Linked DNA regions of Macaca mulatta. Each later gene encodes a partner of the first gene's protein in a complex. Links are inferred from orthologs where the notes say so. Each region holds a gene or a part of one and is shown on either strand. Other genes may lie near its edges.

Region 1 (4,852 bases):
CACAAAGGGATACATAACCATACGAGGCCACCTTGTTCAGCCACCACTAACTGGTCTTAATCTCTTCTTACTGCCCTTAATTAAGGCAGAGGGTATGGTGGTTGAGAACACTGGGTTCTGGAGTCAGACTGCTTGGTTTGAACAAACTCCTTCTCCATCACTTCCTAATTAAGGTTTCTTAAACACTCTGAGCTCAGTTTCTTCATCCTGTTAAGCAGAGATGAAGGGGGTTATACCTCCAAGCAGAGATGATGGGAGGACTAAGAGACAATGCATTTGAAGAGCCTGATACAATGTCTGGCACCTAGAAAGCACTCAACAAATGCTGGCTCCTTTTTGTTATTACCATCGTTGTTATTTCTATTTTTAACTGTAAAAACTGATAAATCCTTTTGCTGAATATACTGACTCTAACAATATTCCAGTAGTTGATCTTCATTCATAGCAGTTTAGTTTTCTTCTTTATCTGACGCTCAAAAGAGTTTCTTTTTTTTTTGAGACGGTGTTTCACTCTTGTTGCCCAGGCTGGAATGCAATGGCGTGATCTCAGCTCACCACAACCTCCGCCTCCCAGGTTCAAGCAATTCTCCTGCCTCAGCCTCCCAAGTAGCTGGAATTACAGGCATGATGCGCCACCACACCCGGCTACTTTTGTATTTTTAGCAGAGACAGAGTTCGTCCATGTTGGTCAGGCTGGTTTTGAACTCCCGACCTCAGGTGATCCACCCACCTCAGCCTCCCAAAGTGCTAGGATTACAGGTGTGAGAAAAGAGCTTCTTAAGGCACTAAATTAATTCCAATGCAAGACCCCAACCATGTTCTTCACAAGCTTTTTTCAACCAAGGTGCAGAACTGCTCCTCCCTCAACAGCTGCTGTTTTGATCACACAAGCACACCTGTTCAATCTCATTTCCAACTTCCAACCAGCTTCAGTAATCATGTCAATCACCTCAAACTTTCTACCCCTCTTTCTCTCTCTACATTAGAAAATAAGGGTTCTCTGAAATTGTGGAAAGTTACCACCTACCAACTCCTGATATAAGAAGTAACATTTCCTTATATATAGTAGATATATGGATACACAGACAAAAAGCCATCAACAAAATGTAAGTTGAAACCACAATGAGATCCCACTTTATACCCAGTAGAACGGTTATAATTTTTTTTAAAAAGAAGAAAATCAGTAAGTGTTGTCAAGGATGTGGAGAAACTAGAACCCTCATACACTGCTGGTAGGAATGTAAAATGGTATAGCCAATTTGGAAAACAGTCTGGCAATTCCTCAAAGGTTAAATACAGAGGTATCATATGACCCAACAAGTCCACTCCCAGGTATATAGCTAAGAGAATTAAAAACTTAGATCCACACAAAAACTTGTATGCAAATGTTCATAACAGCATTATTCACAATTGCCAAAAAATGAAAATAACCTAAATATCCATCAACTGATTAATAAATAAAATGTGGGCTATCCATACAATGTAATATCATTTGGCAATAAAAAGAATGAAGTGCTGATACACACAACCACATGGATGAACCTTGAAAATATTATGCGGGGTGAAAGAAGCCAGTAGGAAAAGACCACATATTGCATGATTCCGTTTACATGAAATGTTCAGAATAGGCAAATCTATAGAGACAAAGGTCAATTAGTGCTTCCTAGAGACCAGAGAAGCTAGGAGGAAATGGGGAGTGACTGTTTATGGGTATGAGGTTTCTTTCTGGGATGATGAAAATGTTTATCAAATTGATAGTGGTGATGAATATACAACTCTGACTATACTAAAAACCAATGACTGTACACATTAAATAGCTGAATTGTATGGCATATAAATATTCCCAAAAAGATATTACGTGATTAGGTAAATGTTTACCAAATGAACAGGGACAAATGACCAGGAGAGGAGTACTGAGTCCCCTGGGGCAGTAGAAAGCTTGGGAACAAAACTAGCCAATATACTCATGAAAACAGGCTTCAGTGTGCCCTCCATAGCCTGCAAATCTATTTTTAAAAGCCACTCAAACATCTGTTAGCTTTTCATGTGACTTCACAACTTTCATCATCCTAGTTATAAACCATTTAAACACAATACCTTACAAATGTACATTTCATTTTTTTGTAGTTTGGGTAACCCCTATATCATAACTTAAACAACAGAAGCTACTACAGAGCTAATCATATCTATCAAATTTAATTCACTTATTTATCCAACAAACATTATATACCTACTGTGTGCCAGACAACGTCCTAGTGTGAAGTATGCAAAGATGGCTGAGATGTAAGCCCTGCTCTCAAGAAGCTCACACACAGCATGGTGAACTGAGAGTTATAATGTGAGACTTTGGAGAACACTCTGACTTGTGTTGCTGCAAATGAAATAAGGTCCTAATAAGTGTTATTTCAATGAAGATGATACGAAATAATTACAGGGCAGTGACCATCCTCCTGATGAGCAGCCTACCTGTTGACATGCTCCTCCCAGTCCTCTGGTGGAGGAGGGGCATCTGCATCAGTCCTGGCAAAGATGACATGCCGTTCACACTCATTCATCACGCTGCGTGCCTTCTGATTGTCATAGAGTGGCATAGGCGTTGACATGACCGTCTCCACATCTATTGGCACATCTGATTCACTGTAAACAGGTGAGGAAATAGGACCGGGCCACACATACTTCACAGGTATTTAACAATCATCTGGTTGACAAAAAATGTATCTTTAATACAGTCAGCTTTAAATTATGTATAAGCACATTATATCCACAAGAAAATTTTGATCCAAAGTCATCTTTCCCACACTTGTCTAGATCTCTGCCTTCTCAGACACGATGGTATGTACTGGAAGAACACAAAGTCATTTTTTCAATGAGTCTATATAAAAAATGATAAACATCTTTTTTTTTTTTAAAGATAAATATGGGCCAGGTGCAGTGGCTCACACCTGTAATACCACCACTTTGTGAAGCCGAGGCAGGTGGATCGCTTGAACTCAGAAGTTCAAGACCAGCCTGGGCAACATGAGGAAACCCTGTCTCTACCAAAAATACAAAAATTAGCTGGGCATGTGGCACATGCCTGTGATCCCAGCACTAAGGAGGCTAAGGTGGGAGGACTGTTGGCACCTGGGAAGTCAAGGCTGCAGTGAGCCATGATTGCATCACTGCACTCCAGCCTGGGTGACAGAGCAAGACCTGGTCTCAAAAATAAATAAATAAATAAATAAATAAATAAATAAATAAATAATAAATACGGCCAGGCACAGCAATTCACACCTGTAATCCCAGCACTTTGGAAGGCTGAAGCAGGAGGATCACTTAAGCCCAGGAGTGAGCTGGTCTCAAAAAATAAATAAATAAATGACAAATATAGCTAGGCACAGTGATTCATACTTGTAATCCCAGCACTTTGGGAGGCTGAGGCAAGACTGCTTAAGCCCAAGAGTTCAAGACCAATTTGGCAACATGGCAAAACCCCGTCTCTACAACAAACACAAAAATTAGACAGGCATGGTGGTGTGTGCCTGCAGTCCCAGCCACTCAGGAAGCTGAGGTGGGAGGATGGCTTGCTTGAGCCCAGGAGGTTGAGGCTACAGTCAGCTGTGATCATGTCACTGCACTCCAGTCTGGGTGACAGAGCAAGACCCAGTCTCAAAAAAAAAAAAAAAAAAAGGACAATATATTCCATAAGCAAGTTGATTTGACTCTCAAACTAATTTTTTTTTTTTTTTTTTTTTGAGACGGAGTCTCGCTCTGTCAACCAGGCTGGAGTGCAGTGGCGCGATCTCGGCTCACTGCAAGCTCCGCCTCCCATGTTCAAGCAATTCTCCTGCCTCAGCCTACCAAGTAGCTGGGACCACAGGCACCTGCCACCTCGCTCGGCTAGTTTTTTGTATTTTTAATAGAGACGGGGTTTCACCGTGTTTGCCAGGATGGTCTCGATCTCCTGACCTCGTGATCTACCCATCTCAGCCTCCCAAAGTGCTAGGATTACAGGCGTGAGCCACCACGCCCGGCCTCAAACTAATATTTTTAAAAAATCACTTTCAATTTTTGTTTAGTAGGCTACAGCTCAGGAGTGGAATTAGAAGACCAGCGAGGCAGCCACTGCAGTTGACTGAGATAGGCCAGAAATCATGATAGCTTGTTTAGGGACGAGAACAGTACAAATGGAGAGAAGTGGCTAACAAGATGATTGCCTAGATACTGTCCAATACAGTAGTTACAAGCTACATACGATTACTTAAACTGAGGCAGACGGATCACGAGGTCAGATCAAGACCATCCTGGCTAACAGTGAAACTCCATCTCTACTAAAAATACAAAAAATTAGCCAGGCGTGGTGGCGGGCACCTGTAGTCCCAGCTACTCGGGACACTGAGGCAGGAGAATGGTGTGAACCCAGAAGGTGAGCTTGCAGTGAGACTGCGCCACTGCACTCCAGCCAGGGCAACAGAGTGAGACTCTGTCTCAAAAAAAAAAAAAAAAGAAATTACTGGGCACAAGGGCTCAGGCTTGTAATCCCAGCACTTTGGGAGGCCAAGGTGGCCAGAACGCTTGAGCCCACAAATTCAACAGTGTGGGCAACATAGTGCAAAAATACGGAAATTAGCTTGTGGTCCCAGCCACATGGGAGGCTGAGGTGGGAGGATCAACTGAGCCTGGGAGGCGGAGGTTGCAGTGAGCCAAGATCACACCACTGCACTCACTCCAGTCTGGGTGACAGAGACCTCGGCCCAAAAAAAAAAAAAAAAAAAAAAAAAAATTTTAAATAGAATTAAATATTCAGGCTGGGCACAGAGGCTTGCGCCTGTAACCCCAACATTTTGGGAGGCCAAGGCGGGTGGATCACCTG
Region 2 (3,868 bases), on another chromosome or scaffold:
ATGGCACACAAGTCCCAGATTTAAGAGGCTGAGAGGCAGGGGAATGGCTTGAGCCCAGTTCAAGACCGTAATGAACTATAATCATGACACTGTTCTCCAGGCCAGGTGACATAGTGAGATCCCATCTCAAATATAAAGAAACACATAAATAAAATGTTTGTCTTTGTGGATAAAGTATAAAATGCACTACACTAGGCTGGGCATGGTGGCTCACACCTATAATTCTAGCACTTTGGGAGGCTGAGGCAGGCAGATCACCTGAGGTGAGGAGTTCGAGACCAGCCCAGCCAACATAGCAAAACCCCATCTCTACTAAAAATACAAAATTTAACCAGGCACGGTGGCGCATGCCTGTAATCCCAGCTACTCAGGAGGCTGAGGCAGGAGGATCATTTGAATGTAGGAGATGGAGGTTGCAGTGAGCCAAGATTGAGCCACTGCACTCCCGTCTAGGCGACAGAGCCAGACTCTGTCTCAAAAAAAAAAAGTACTAAACTAGGGAATCAAAAAAGCAGTGGGAACTACAAACTTAAAAACAGTATCACTGGAAGACCTAGTAAAGGCAATCTCCCTAGGGGTTCATCTGATGGACCTTTTATGAGTTACTTCTGACCATGCTCTGAATGTAAATGATTAAAGTTAAGATGATGGTGTAACTGTAAGCCATTCTGTGCCCATTTCAGTTCTTAAAGTAATTTTTTGCCCTCCTTGTCATAATGCAGTACAGAAATAGACAATTTCTAGTGTAGGTACCTCAACCCCAACTGAACTTCTATTTTAACCCTGCTCTAAGATTCAGTGTCAAAACAATCTTGACAATACCTTACTATCTTAGTGATCCAGCATCAGGCCCAATTTCTCTTATGTTTTAAGTATATTCCTACCATTAGAGAATTTTGAGATGGCATGAGCATTATTGTTTTTTTAAATAATTATTTAAAATTTGAAAATATAGACACAGGGTCTCACCATGTTGCCCAGACTGGTCTGGAAGTACTGAGCTCAAGTGATCCACCTATCTCAGCCTCCCAAAGTGCTGGGATTACAGGTGTAAGCCACCACACCTAGCAGAGATGACATTGGCATTAATCGTGAGAAATGGGAGTGGGAGTAGGGGACACAGAGTGGAAGGGTAGAAAGAAGATATTTGGAACTGATTGGCTTTAATAAGTCCTGCCCCTTTTCATTTACTTCTTCCTTAAAAGCAAAACCAAAATGAGCTACTGAAGATTTATTTTTTCCTGGGATGGAAGTATTATCTGCCCCAACTTCCCTTTCCCATCAGAGACAGGTCCCTAAAACCGCGAAAGAGAGACTATATTCTCAAACAAAACATGCATTCAATTCAGGTGACTGTTTGATATTTTCATAACATTTTCTTTAACATTTAATAGAAACTATATACAATAAATTTGTACTATATTTTACATAAGATAGCAACCACAGAAATTTACATAGGTTAAAAGCAAGATGGATAAGGAGGACCCAGTCCTGTGGGCTGTTTTCTCAGAGGATAAAAGCCAGAGTTCACCACGGAAACAGGTTAAAGATTGCCCAATTAAGTAGAGGTGAAGAAAAGTTAAACTGCAGGTCTTTAGATAGAGATAACCAGATATTAGGGCCATCAGTATCTAAAAGACACTACTCACAAAGACAGCTCCCACCTAGCTACTTAAGTGGATTTCTATCCATGACTTTGGAAATCCCATTACAAAGATGTCACTTTCCTTTTAGGTATAGTACCAAATAATCCCAGAAGCTTTGATAGGGATTATCTCTCTTCCTTGCCCTGAGTGGGAAGAAACCCACAACTCTTAAGAAGTATTGGTCCATGTCCTCAAAATTTGGCTTTACTTTTGACTATAATACTCAATCCAGAAGAAAAACAAGATAGTCTGGGTTGCCTGTGTTTTGTGAGAGATGATCAGAAATATTTCTTTGAAGAATGAGAAATTTAAATCCACCAAAGTAAAATGGTTCCCCAAACTATCAACTAATAGAAGTGGGTTCTGGCTTCCCATTTGCAGTAGCCAATCCACTCTGAGACAATGGTGCAGAGGCTTTCTCAGAATTTCGAGATCCCTGGGATCTGCACCCATCTCCAGCCATCTGCATCTGGCCCTGTTAAAAGAAATAAAGGCACTTCAGTTAGAAATTCATTCACTGTGGTCTGAAGTATGAATCTGACTTATCAGTGGCCATTTATACTAGCAATAAGAAAAATACAACAGAAATTAATTAATTCTGGACAGATGCTCCTCCCTATATTAGCTATCCCTGTCCCTTGGAAGAGCCTACTCCTGAGCCTCTTCCAATGGGTTGGAGAGCTGTAGGTTGTTTCTTCCAAATGAAACAGCCATTCCCTGCTGAGGTCCCAGAACAGCCAACAGACCATAGGAAGACAGTCCTTTAGGCCTCTGCTTGAAACCAACAGCTACAGTACAACTGCTGGTTTTCAGTCAGGGCCACTGGAATTCTACCCAAGGTTCACAGACAGAACTCAAATCACACTACTTTACTGGTCATTCTATAATGAGAACAATTTCAGTGCTGAACTCTCCCTCAGAAGGTACAGTTTACCTAGATTCCTTATCTCAAGCTTTTATTTAAATAAATTTATGTCCTACTCTGGGATATGAGGATCAGGGGCCATTAGGTGTTCTAAGAGTCTATCTGGAGAACTACAGCAACAAGGGTATACAGGAGCAAAGTAGGGCATTTTTAAAAGTGCTTTGCTTATATGGTATTCAATGAGCGAGAGACATGTGGAGCGTCTTTATACTAGTGATGACACCCCACTCCCCTCCAGGAGTACATGCTATCCAGCAGGGAACCCTCTGCCTGGCCAGGTCTCTACATGCGGGAAACAGGTGGGATTGTTCTTCACTTGCCAAAATATCCACTGGGTCTTCAGCAATTTCTTTGACTAAATGATCTTCAAGGGTTAGTGAAGGATCAAAAAGCAAAGGTGAAGGAGGACACTGCATACCATCACCCACAACATCCAAGTCCTAGAAAACAAGAGAGAAAAGCCCATCAGCAATACCAAGGGAAACAATAATAAAGGTGGTATGTTTTTCAGCAAACTTTAAAGCAATACTCTGCTGTCTCCCTCAACCCTAGCCTACCTTTGATCAAAAAAAAATTTTACCAGAACGTCCAACAAATGAAACAAGATCCAAGAGCACTGAGAGCTTTTGCTGCCAAGTGTAAAACATAGACCAATATAGTGGATTAAAAAACACAATTCTGGCCACCACACCTGTAATCCCAGCACTTTGGGAGGCCGAGGTAGGCAGATCGCTTGAGCCCAGGAGTTCAAGACCAGCCTGGGCAACATGGTGAAATCCTGTCTCTACAAAAACTGCAAAAATCAGCCAGGCGCAGCAGCACACACCTGTAGTCCCAGCTACTCCAGAGGCTGCTGAGGTGGGAAGATCCCTTGAGCCCGGAACACAGTGGCTGCAGTGAGCCGAGATTGAGCCTCTGCACTCCAACCTGGGTGGCAGAGTCAGACCCTGTCTCGGAAAGAAAAAAAATGTCCAGGAAAATTCACAGAAACACGAAGTAGGAACGGAGAATAGTAGGGAACAGGGGAAAGGGAAAGGAGAGAGTTACTGTTTAAAAAATACAAAGTTTCTGTTTGGACTGATGAAAAAGTTCTGAAACAGAAAACATTGATAGCTGTATAACATGGTAAATGTTCGTACCACCACTGACTTGTACACTTAAAAATGGCCAGGTACAGTGGCTCATGCCTGTGATCCCAACACTTTGGGAAGCCGAAGTGGGAGGATCACTTGAGGCCAGGAATTCAAGACCAGCCTGGGTGATACAGCAAGACCCCATCTCTAGTTACCCACCTACA

What was found. The genes of interacting proteins can lie anywhere in the genome.
Region 2: KANSL3 (region 1) and KANSL2 share a complex: the UniProt entries of both Homo sapiens proteins name them as parts of the NSL complex. The link is inferred for Macaca mulatta from reciprocal best matches to the Homo sapiens genes KANSL3 and KANSL2.

The regions. Positions count from the first base shown.
Region 1 is NC_133418.1:5,283,611-5,288,462, forward strand, and holds part of KANSL3 (KAT8 regulatory NSL complex subunit 3), read right to left. Parts: intron 2,699-4,852; exon of another isoform or gene 2,638-2,698; coding exon 2,467-2,637; intron 2,372-2,466; exon of another isoform or gene 2,231-2,371; intron 1-2,230. UniProt on the Homo sapiens protein: Non-catalytic component of the NSL histone acetyltransferase complex, a multiprotein complex that mediates histone H4 acetylation at 'Lys-5'- and 'Lys-8' (H4K5ac and H4K8ac) at transcription start sites and promotes transcription initiation.
Region 2 is NC_133416.1:55,812,265-55,816,132, forward strand, and holds the end of KANSL2 (KAT8 regulatory NSL complex subunit 2), read right to left. Parts: intron 3,519-3,868; exon of another isoform or gene 3,398-3,518; intron 3,012-3,397; coding exon 2,892-3,011; intron 2,470-2,891; exon of another isoform or gene 2,333-2,469; intron 2,122-2,332; coding exon 1,990-2,121; 3' UTR 1,357-1,989; downstream 1-1,356. UniProt on the Homo sapiens protein: Non-catalytic component of the NSL histone acetyltransferase complex, a multiprotein complex that mediates histone H4 acetylation at 'Lys-5'- and 'Lys-8' (H4K5ac and H4K8ac) at transcription start sites and promotes transcription initiation.